Cricetulus griseus: one gene and its partner. The protein of the gene in region 1 interacts with the protein of each later gene in a pairwise test. Links are inferred from orthologs where the notes say so. Each region holds a gene or a part of one and is shown in the gene's direction. Other genes may lie near its edges. The genes, in order: Cep19 and Cep43.

Evidence for each region.
Region 2: the proteins of Cep19 (region 1) and Cep43 interact in binary tests that used the Homo sapiens proteins (3 or more experiments, as listed by UniProt). The two-hybrid records come from large-scale screens. The link is inferred for Cricetulus griseus from reciprocal best matches to the Homo sapiens genes CEP19 and CEP43.

What each region holds. Positions count from the first base shown.
Region 1 is NC_048597.1:57,396,687-57,401,072, reverse strand, and holds the start of Cep19 (centrosomal protein of 19 kDa), read left to right. Parts: upstream 1-1,283; 5' UTR 1,284-1,606; intron 1,607-4,386. UniProt on the Homo sapiens protein: Required for ciliation. Recruits the RABL2B GTPase to the ciliary base to initiate ciliation.
Region 2 is NC_048595.1:292,382,194-292,386,009, reverse strand, and holds part of Cep43 (centrosomal protein 43), read left to right. Parts: intron 1-528; coding exon 529-758; intron 759-1,610; coding exon 1,611-1,723; intron 1,724-3,251; coding exon 3,252-3,320; intron 3,321-3,816. UniProt on the Homo sapiens protein: Required for anchoring microtubules to the centrosomes. Required for ciliation.

The sequences.
Region 1 (4,386 bases):
AAAAACAAAAAAAAAAAACCTCACTATTCAGTTGCTAGACACCTTGCTATAAAACTTTGGCTAGAAATGTTCGAGAAGAACATTAAACCAGAGTGAAGCACTACATAAACCTGTTACTCAGTAACTTGAAGAAAAAAAAAAAAAGCATGTGTAGCCAGGAGAATAAAAACTTGTAAGATTCTCGAGGGTCCTTATCAACAGTATAAAAGGGAGTCAACAGTTGCTGGGGACAAACTGCAGAGAGAAAGAGATGGGGGTAAAAAAAAAAAACAGATATTGGGGCTATGGAGCTCCAGGGTTGCAGTTTCAGGGGCGGGGTCAACCATGTTGGGGTGGATTTTTTAGTGATGCAGATTCTTTTGAGTTATCCCTGCTCCTTGCAAGTAACCCTTCACCCACATTCCTACCAGTAACCCCAATAAAAAAAATTCATTGGTTCATCAAATTGGCTACTAGTACAAAGGTTACCTTTCTGGAGGAGCGAGAGAGGGAGGGAGGGAGGGAGGGAGAGCGGCATCTCCCTGGGAAGTCTGTCACGAAACACACCAACTCACCACCTCATCCCTTCTCTACAAACTGGCCATGTTCACACCTTCGGGGACGCGAAGGGTTCCCTGGCCTCTCCCGGCAGCAGAAAGCAGCTTCGGGGGTACCACAAGCATCCCAAGATGCTCCGTGGCTGTACCTGTTTAGTACTTTTGTGGCCTGCCCCGCCTCAGAGGGACAAAGCATGGCTCCGATGTCCGGGATGGAACACCAAGCAAAGATCACAGGGAGGTCAGGGACGCACGCGGCCTTTGTGGCTAACCTCCTCCCGCCCCTGGTATGTCTAACACCTCGGCAAACCGCGGAGCTGAAGGGCCGCGGGCGCTCCCCACCCCTGCCCCAGATCCGCGCGCGCTCCTTCAGCCTCCCCCCCCCCCCCCCGCCCTTTACCAGAGCCGAAGGGGGCGTCGCTCAAGTCCGCGGCGAGCCTGACGACCAGCCCAGCCGCCCAGAGGAGCAGCCAGGCCACAGCGCCCGCAGCCAGGACGCCGGAGCGCCGACGCCCGAAATGGGCGCGCGGGACGAGCTGCGGTCGCGGAAGGAGGCTGCTCACGTCGCAGCGCGCACTCCCACCGGCCGGGTGACTGGGACGGAGCGCTCCGCGCGCAAACGGCCCTGGACCCACTGAGCACTCGCACTGGGTAGCTCAGTCCCACGAACTGCAGGTCCCCGGGAGGCCCGCATTTGGCGCCGCCCCTGGCCATCCCAGCTGGGGCGGGGCGAAAATCTGCGCAAGCGCAGTCCGCGCGCTCGCGCTGTTGCCTTGGAAACCAGCCTAGGCGGGCGCCCGGCGGGCCTCTGGACCAAGCTCAGACTTAGGACCGCACACGCCGCGCTCAGGCCAGCTTCCCGTCCTCAGCCGGACGCGTGCGGGCTGGGGCCACCTGCCTCTGAACTCACCCCATGGTTACCCCTGTAGGAAATGGGTGTCGCCTCTTCCTGCAGCGTCAGGCTCCACTCCGCCTCAAAGATGATATAAGTGATCCTCTGTGCAATGCGGTTGGATGGAAACAGCCCTCTCGCTGCTGTTCAGATGTGCACTTCCTGTACTTCTTCAAGGGTAAGAAGGGTCGCCTTGCCCTAGTGAGGACATCAGTAGAGAAAGGTCGGGTCTATAAGGTGGGAAAGCCGTACCCCCTTAGGTGTTGTAGGGAACACAGTCATTGATCCCTGGGAAGAAAAGTATATCGTCCAAGAACAGTTAGGTAAACGTGCTGTCACTCCTCCCAACTCTTTGGAATATGTTAGCAGTTGTGGAGAGTGCTGGTGCTGGCCAGGCTATGAGGTCTCCAGGTGGGAAGAGGGTATAATACAACAAACACTGCAAGCACTCTGTTAAGAAATGCGGACAGCCACATGTAGTGGCTCACTCCTTTAATTCCAGCACTTGGGAGGCAGAGGCAGGTGGCTCTCTGTGAGTTCAAGGACAGCCTGGTCTACAGAGCGAGTTCCAGGACAGCTAGGGCTGTCACACAGAAAAAGCTTTAAAAAAAAAAAAAGAAAGAAAGAAAAAAGGAAGAGAGAGAGATAGCCTCCCAAGCCCTCCAAAAAAAGCTGGCTGCCTTTAATCTCAGCACTCAGGAGGCAGAGGCAGGTGGGTATCTGAGTTCGAGGCTGGTCTACAAAGTGAGTTCCAGGTCAGTTACACTAAGAAACCTCGTCTTGAAAAAACAAAACAAAAACCAACAACAACAAAAAATTTAAAAAGGAAAACTCTAGAATTTAAAAATGAAGACTCTATAGTCAAAACCCTACATTGTCAATTCTATTCACAAGTGTGGCCTCTTGTTTGTGTTTGTAGACCATATAGGGTGTTTAGTCGTATTTCTTAGAAAGCATACTAGCATCATACTTTAGTGAGGTGAACTGGGAGTAGTATCTGGTCATTGACTCAGATCAAAGGCAGAGCATAGCAATATGAAAAACAATTCTATATTATGACTAACCTCTTAAGAGTAAAAATTCTCAAAAAAAAAGTAAAAATTCTCACATCTAACAGTAGGGGTGAGAATACAGATTATGGTCCTATATAACAAATCTACTTGGCAACCATAAAATTTGCATTTTAATTCAGGAACTCATATGACATTTAAATATACTGTAGTAAATGTATATATACTTATAGCTAGAAAAAAAGGAATGGAAATTAGGTGAATATTTTATGTTTTCTTCCTCTTTCTTTTGTCCCTATTTTTTTAATAATGAACAGATATAAATACTATCAATTTTCTTTTCCTTCTTTTTTTGTTTTTTTTTGTTTGTTTGTTTATTTGTTTCGAGACAGGGTTTCTCTGTGTAGCTTTGGAGCCTGTCCTGGAACTTGATCTGTAGCCCAGGCTAACCTTGAACCCACAGAGATCCGCCTGCCTCTGTCTCCAGAGTGTGGGATTAAAGGTATGTGCCACCAATGCCTGGCTGTTGTTTTTGTTTGTTTGTTTGTTTGTTTTGGTGGGGGGGGCTACTATCAATTTCTTAATGTGCCTATAGTTATTCTTCAACAGAACTAACTTACAACTCCTAAGGGCCTTGAGATTCTTCATTCCTACAATAGCTAGTATTATTATTGCTGTTGGGCCTAGGCCATGAGAACCCTAAGTCTCAAGGCCTGAAAGCCCCCTGAAACTCTTCAGCAACTAGGCCTCATAGCTTCTGCTGCCTCAGCTTTAGTTACTGCCTTAGTTGGGGTTTCTATTGCTGTGAAGAGACACCATGGCCACAACAACTCTTATAAAGAAAACATTTAATTGGGGCTGGCTTACAGTTCAGAGGTCCTGCCTATTATCATCAGGGCTGGACATGGCAGTGTGCCAGTGATGGAGAGGTAACTGAGAGTTCTGCATCTCTGCAGGCAGCAGGAAGAGATCTGTGACACTTCCTCCAACAATGCCACAGCCACTCCATCAAGGCCACACCTCCTAAAAGTGCCACTCCCTCTGGGCCAAGCATTCAAACACATGAGTCTATGGGGGGTCATACCTATTCAAACCACCACATTCTACTCCCTGACCCACACAGGCTTGGAGCCATAACATAATGAAAATTCATTTAGTTTAACTTCAACAGTCCTCTTAGATTATTACAGTCTCAAAAATGTTTCAAAGGCCAAAGTTCAAAGTCTCTTCTGAGATTCATTCACTCTCTTAACTTTAATCCCCTATGAAATCAAAATAAAAAAACAAATCACATACTTCCAACATAGAATGATACAGGATATACATTACAATTCCAAAATACAGGGAAGGGAACATAGCAAGGAAATATTAGATCAAAGCAAGACCAAAAATTAGCTGGGCAAACTCCAAACTCTTGCATCTCCATGTCTGATGTCAAAACTCTCTTCAGATCTCCAATTCCTCCCAGCTTTGTCGACTGCAGCACACGTCTTTCTCTTGGGTTGGTTCCACTCCCTGTTAGCAGCTTTCCTTGGCAGGTATCTCATGACTCTGGCATCTCCAACATCTTGGGGTTCTCCAACACAAGGCTTCACTTTCACAGCTTCATACAATGGCTTCTGTAGGCCCTCCATGCAGGGACATGCTTGACAAATGCCTGGCCTCAATGGCTTTCCTTAGCCATTGTGGGTGGGAGGGGATTTCCTTTCTTCTATCCTTGACTCTAAAGCCAGAACCACATGGCTGAAACTGCCAAGCTCTGCTGTTTGATGTGGTTGGAACATGACCCCCTCGTTCAAATACATCTTCACCAGCTTTCTGGTTTTGATGTTGTTGTGCCCAAATTCTGAACCCCAAAATCACCAAGAGGCCCATTTCGATGAAAAAGCAGAGAGTCTTTTATTGCAGTTGTTTAATGAGCTAACCCCATTAGCTTTGGGGGATGGCT
Region 2 (3,816 bases), on another chromosome or scaffold:
AGTTTATTTTGTGACAGTCTTCTTAACTTTAATGCTCTCTCCTGGTTTCAAGTTGAAAATGTATTAAGATATTTTATGCAGCGGTGACATACATACATATAGGATGAAAAAGGAAAGCTATTTATAAATGAGAAAGTTTCTAAGTGGGATACACACTAAAAACATTTTCATTTAGAAAGAAGGAAAGAAATAGTGTAAACATCTTCTTTAACATTTTACCATTGGAAAGCTGTCCATGTCAGGAAGCCTGGGAATGAAGTGGGAAAGCATAGGACGACACTGTAGTTCCTGCTGTTGAAAGCACAGGTGTTCACACGCGCGCACGCACGCACGCGCACACACACACGCACACACACACACACGCGCGCACACACACACACACGCACGCACACACACACACACACACACACACACGCACGCACACACACACACACACACACACACACACACACCTATGTTGACTATTGTTTAAGATATCTTAGAAGTTTTATCACCACGGAGACCTCTCCCTCCCTCCATCTTTCTTAGAAGACCAACAGCGAGAGCAGTCAGAGCGAGCCCAGTAGTATCTCCTTATCAGAGCCAAGGAGCAAGAGCAGCCTTCACTCCCTGGCCCAGGAGACACGAATCGCGTCCTTCTTGAGCAGCAGCACTTTAGATGCAAAAGACAAAGGTGTTCTTTGTGGGGAGGAAGATGATGCAGAAGGAGACTCTTTCTTTGATGATCCCATTCCTAAGCCAGAAAAAACCTATGGTTGGTGAGTAGACTTCTTTGGATCATCTGACTTATGATTTAAAAATAAAATCTAAAATGCTTTCATTTTATATTTTAAAACTAATGATTTGCTAATAACTATATAATTATTGAATCCATAAACCTAGTTTTGTGTCAGTAAAACCTAGTATGTTATAAAATAATGCCAGAATTATTGAAGGCACCAGATGAGCCATTTTCACCAGATGAGTCTGTATCAGGTACTCACTGTGTGATAGGAGCTGTATCAGAGTTTCAGTTTGTGCATGTGTGGATGCTTGCTAATATAAGGGAACACCTGGGGATTTAGAATAAGGTAACAGTATTGCTGGAGTGCTGCCCTGTGGTAGACTCCAGGGAGGAGTTGTCAATGGAATGGAGGGGGTGGCCAGGGTAGACACTGATGGCAGTGCCTGGGAAGTTAGGACGGAGCTGACTGGAATGCATGAAGTTGTGATGAAACAGCCTCTGAAGGTTAGAAGGGCTCTGCGCTTCCTGAACAGTATGCATTTGAGAGGAAATGCTTATTTGTTGATTCTTGTACTGTCTTTTGTGTTTCAAAAGATGGAGGGGGCTTCTGAAGGAGCTCCTAGATAGTTGAAGGTCCACTTGGCTGAGAGATAGTAAACAGTTGGGAATTTAGGGGAGCTGGTGCTTCACTGACAATCTTATGCATCTGTAACTGCACGTCTGCAGTCTGCATTGTCCTGTAGGTGTGCTGTATGGTTTTCAATCTGTAAAATCTTCATGTCAACCATTAGATGCATATTTAAATTGCTTTTTTATGTTTACAGAATAAAAGACTATAGTGATAAGGCCTGAAATTATCATTTAACTATTAATTGCTTCCTGTTAGGAGAAATGAACCTAGGAAGCACGTTGGAAGTCTGGCCTCACTCTCTGACATACCCCCCTTCAGGAGTGGTCTCAGCTCCCTGGCAGGAGCCCCTTCATTAACAGATACTGAGAGTAAGTACTTGAATACTCCAGGTTGTAATGATATCTTGTTTATACTCTAACAAATAAAGCTTGCCTGAAGATCAGAGGGCAGAGCTAGCCACTAGATAACCGTAGAGGTCTGGAGGTCAGTACAGATAGGCAGGAAGTGAGGAGGTGGGAGGAGACAGGAGCTCAATCTCTTTTCAGCTGGGAAGTTAGCGAGGTAAAGGTGGCTGTGACTTGCTCCTTGTCTGTCTGATCTTTCAGCATTTTCCTCTGTATCTGACTCCAGGCTTTTATTATTAAGACCTATTAGAACTCATGCTACATGTTGGCGCCCAACGTGATCTTCAGGCAAGCTTTATTTGTTAGGATATAAACAAGATATCACTCTACCAGGTTAGTTGTTGTTGTTTGTTGTTTGTTTTTTTCGGATAAGTGTGGTGTTTGTTGCTGTGATAAAATACCATGACCCAAAGTAAGTTGAGGAAGGAAGTGATTATTTGTGTCAGGTCAAAAAAAAAAAAATTAGCCAGTCATATGTAATAACAATTAATATAGATTGGGGGTTTTATTGTTGTAGTTTTGTTTGTTTGGTTTGGTTTGGGGGGGTTGTTGTTTTAGAAAAATCTCCATTTTAATGAGATGGACAATATTTTGCCACTCTTAATGTAGTCAGTATTCTCCACCATTTGTATTCTTTTTTGCTATGCTATCAACATAGTTTTCGGAAGCTGACTTTTTAAATGCTTTAGACCATCAGTAGGTATACATATACAATTTCTAAATTTTACACAGAAGTCATACATAATACTTCAAATTTAGTCTTGGTTTTCCCTGGCTGCAGTATGCACATCCCTCTGTGTTTTATCAACATGTTGATGAGCCACATGATCACTGGGGAAGGTAAATAGCCTCTACCGAGTACTGCTGGACTGGGCTGGGCTGGGCTGGTAGGTTAGGCATCTCCAGTAGAGTTTTCATAGGAGTATTGTCAACCTAAGATGAGTGTTAGGTGCTGTCCCCTTCCAAGACAGAAAACATTTGTAACTTGTAAGTCATGCCTCATAAACCCTTAAAATAACTTAAATTTTAAAAGAAGTTTTGTGATAGAGTGATCATCATAGTCATTCTGCCATCAGGGACTTGTGTCTGACATTTTTATGTGAACAGAGGAGAGGTTGCTAGCAAGGTGAAAGGATAGCCAGCTTCCTGCACTATGCCATCCCATCTCATCCCATCCTCACCCTGGGAAAGCATATGTGGATATCACCCTGTCATAGTCAGCTGGTATTTAACCTGGTGTGCAGAGCATCAGCAGGACTTCCTCAGGTAGTCCACTTGGAGTTCACAGTACTAGGTTTTGTGTGCATTTTTATTTTGGTGGTTGTGTTCTAATAAAGAATAGTATGATCTGATTTCTCTCCATAACACATGATTGTAGCCTCTACTGATAATTTTACCTCTAGGCTTTCATACTCTTAGGGTGTAAATGCTTGGTGTGGCTTAGAGAATGTTGCCCTGAATTCTTTCACACAGTGCTCTTTCCCGTCTGCAGGTAAAAGAGGAAGCACCGTCCTAAAGGATCTGAAGTTGGTCAGTGAGAAAATCGGATCACTTGGGCTAGGTAACTGTATTTCAGTTTTAGTGTGGTTGTTGAAAACCTTTTCCAGGTCTACATGGAAGAACCGTCCTGCTGTCATTCAGCAGGTGTTGGAGAGTTAGTATGCATCCAGAGTTAGCCCTGTGCCAGGGGACGGTGGCAACAAGTTGCACCATCCTTTGTCTTCATGTCCAGACTGTGGTAGGGGAAGGCCCTGGACTGGGCTTTTGAGGAAGGCCTCTGGAAGAGGCTGTGGCTGGGCCTGGTGATCCAGACAGAGCTGTATAACAAAGGTTTCAGTGAACATGGGTGAAGTGGTGACAGCAACCGAGCTGTTCTCTGGGTGCTGTGAGTTCAGCACCCAGACCACAGGGAGTCCATCCGTCTGCTACAGGGCTCAGATGTGAGAGTTCAGCTGTGGCATGGGCTGTTGTATTATTTGGAGCAGATGTAAGTAAACAGACTCCTATGGGAGGAAGAGTCAGTGTACACAAAACTGAGTTCTGGGCACACTGCAAAC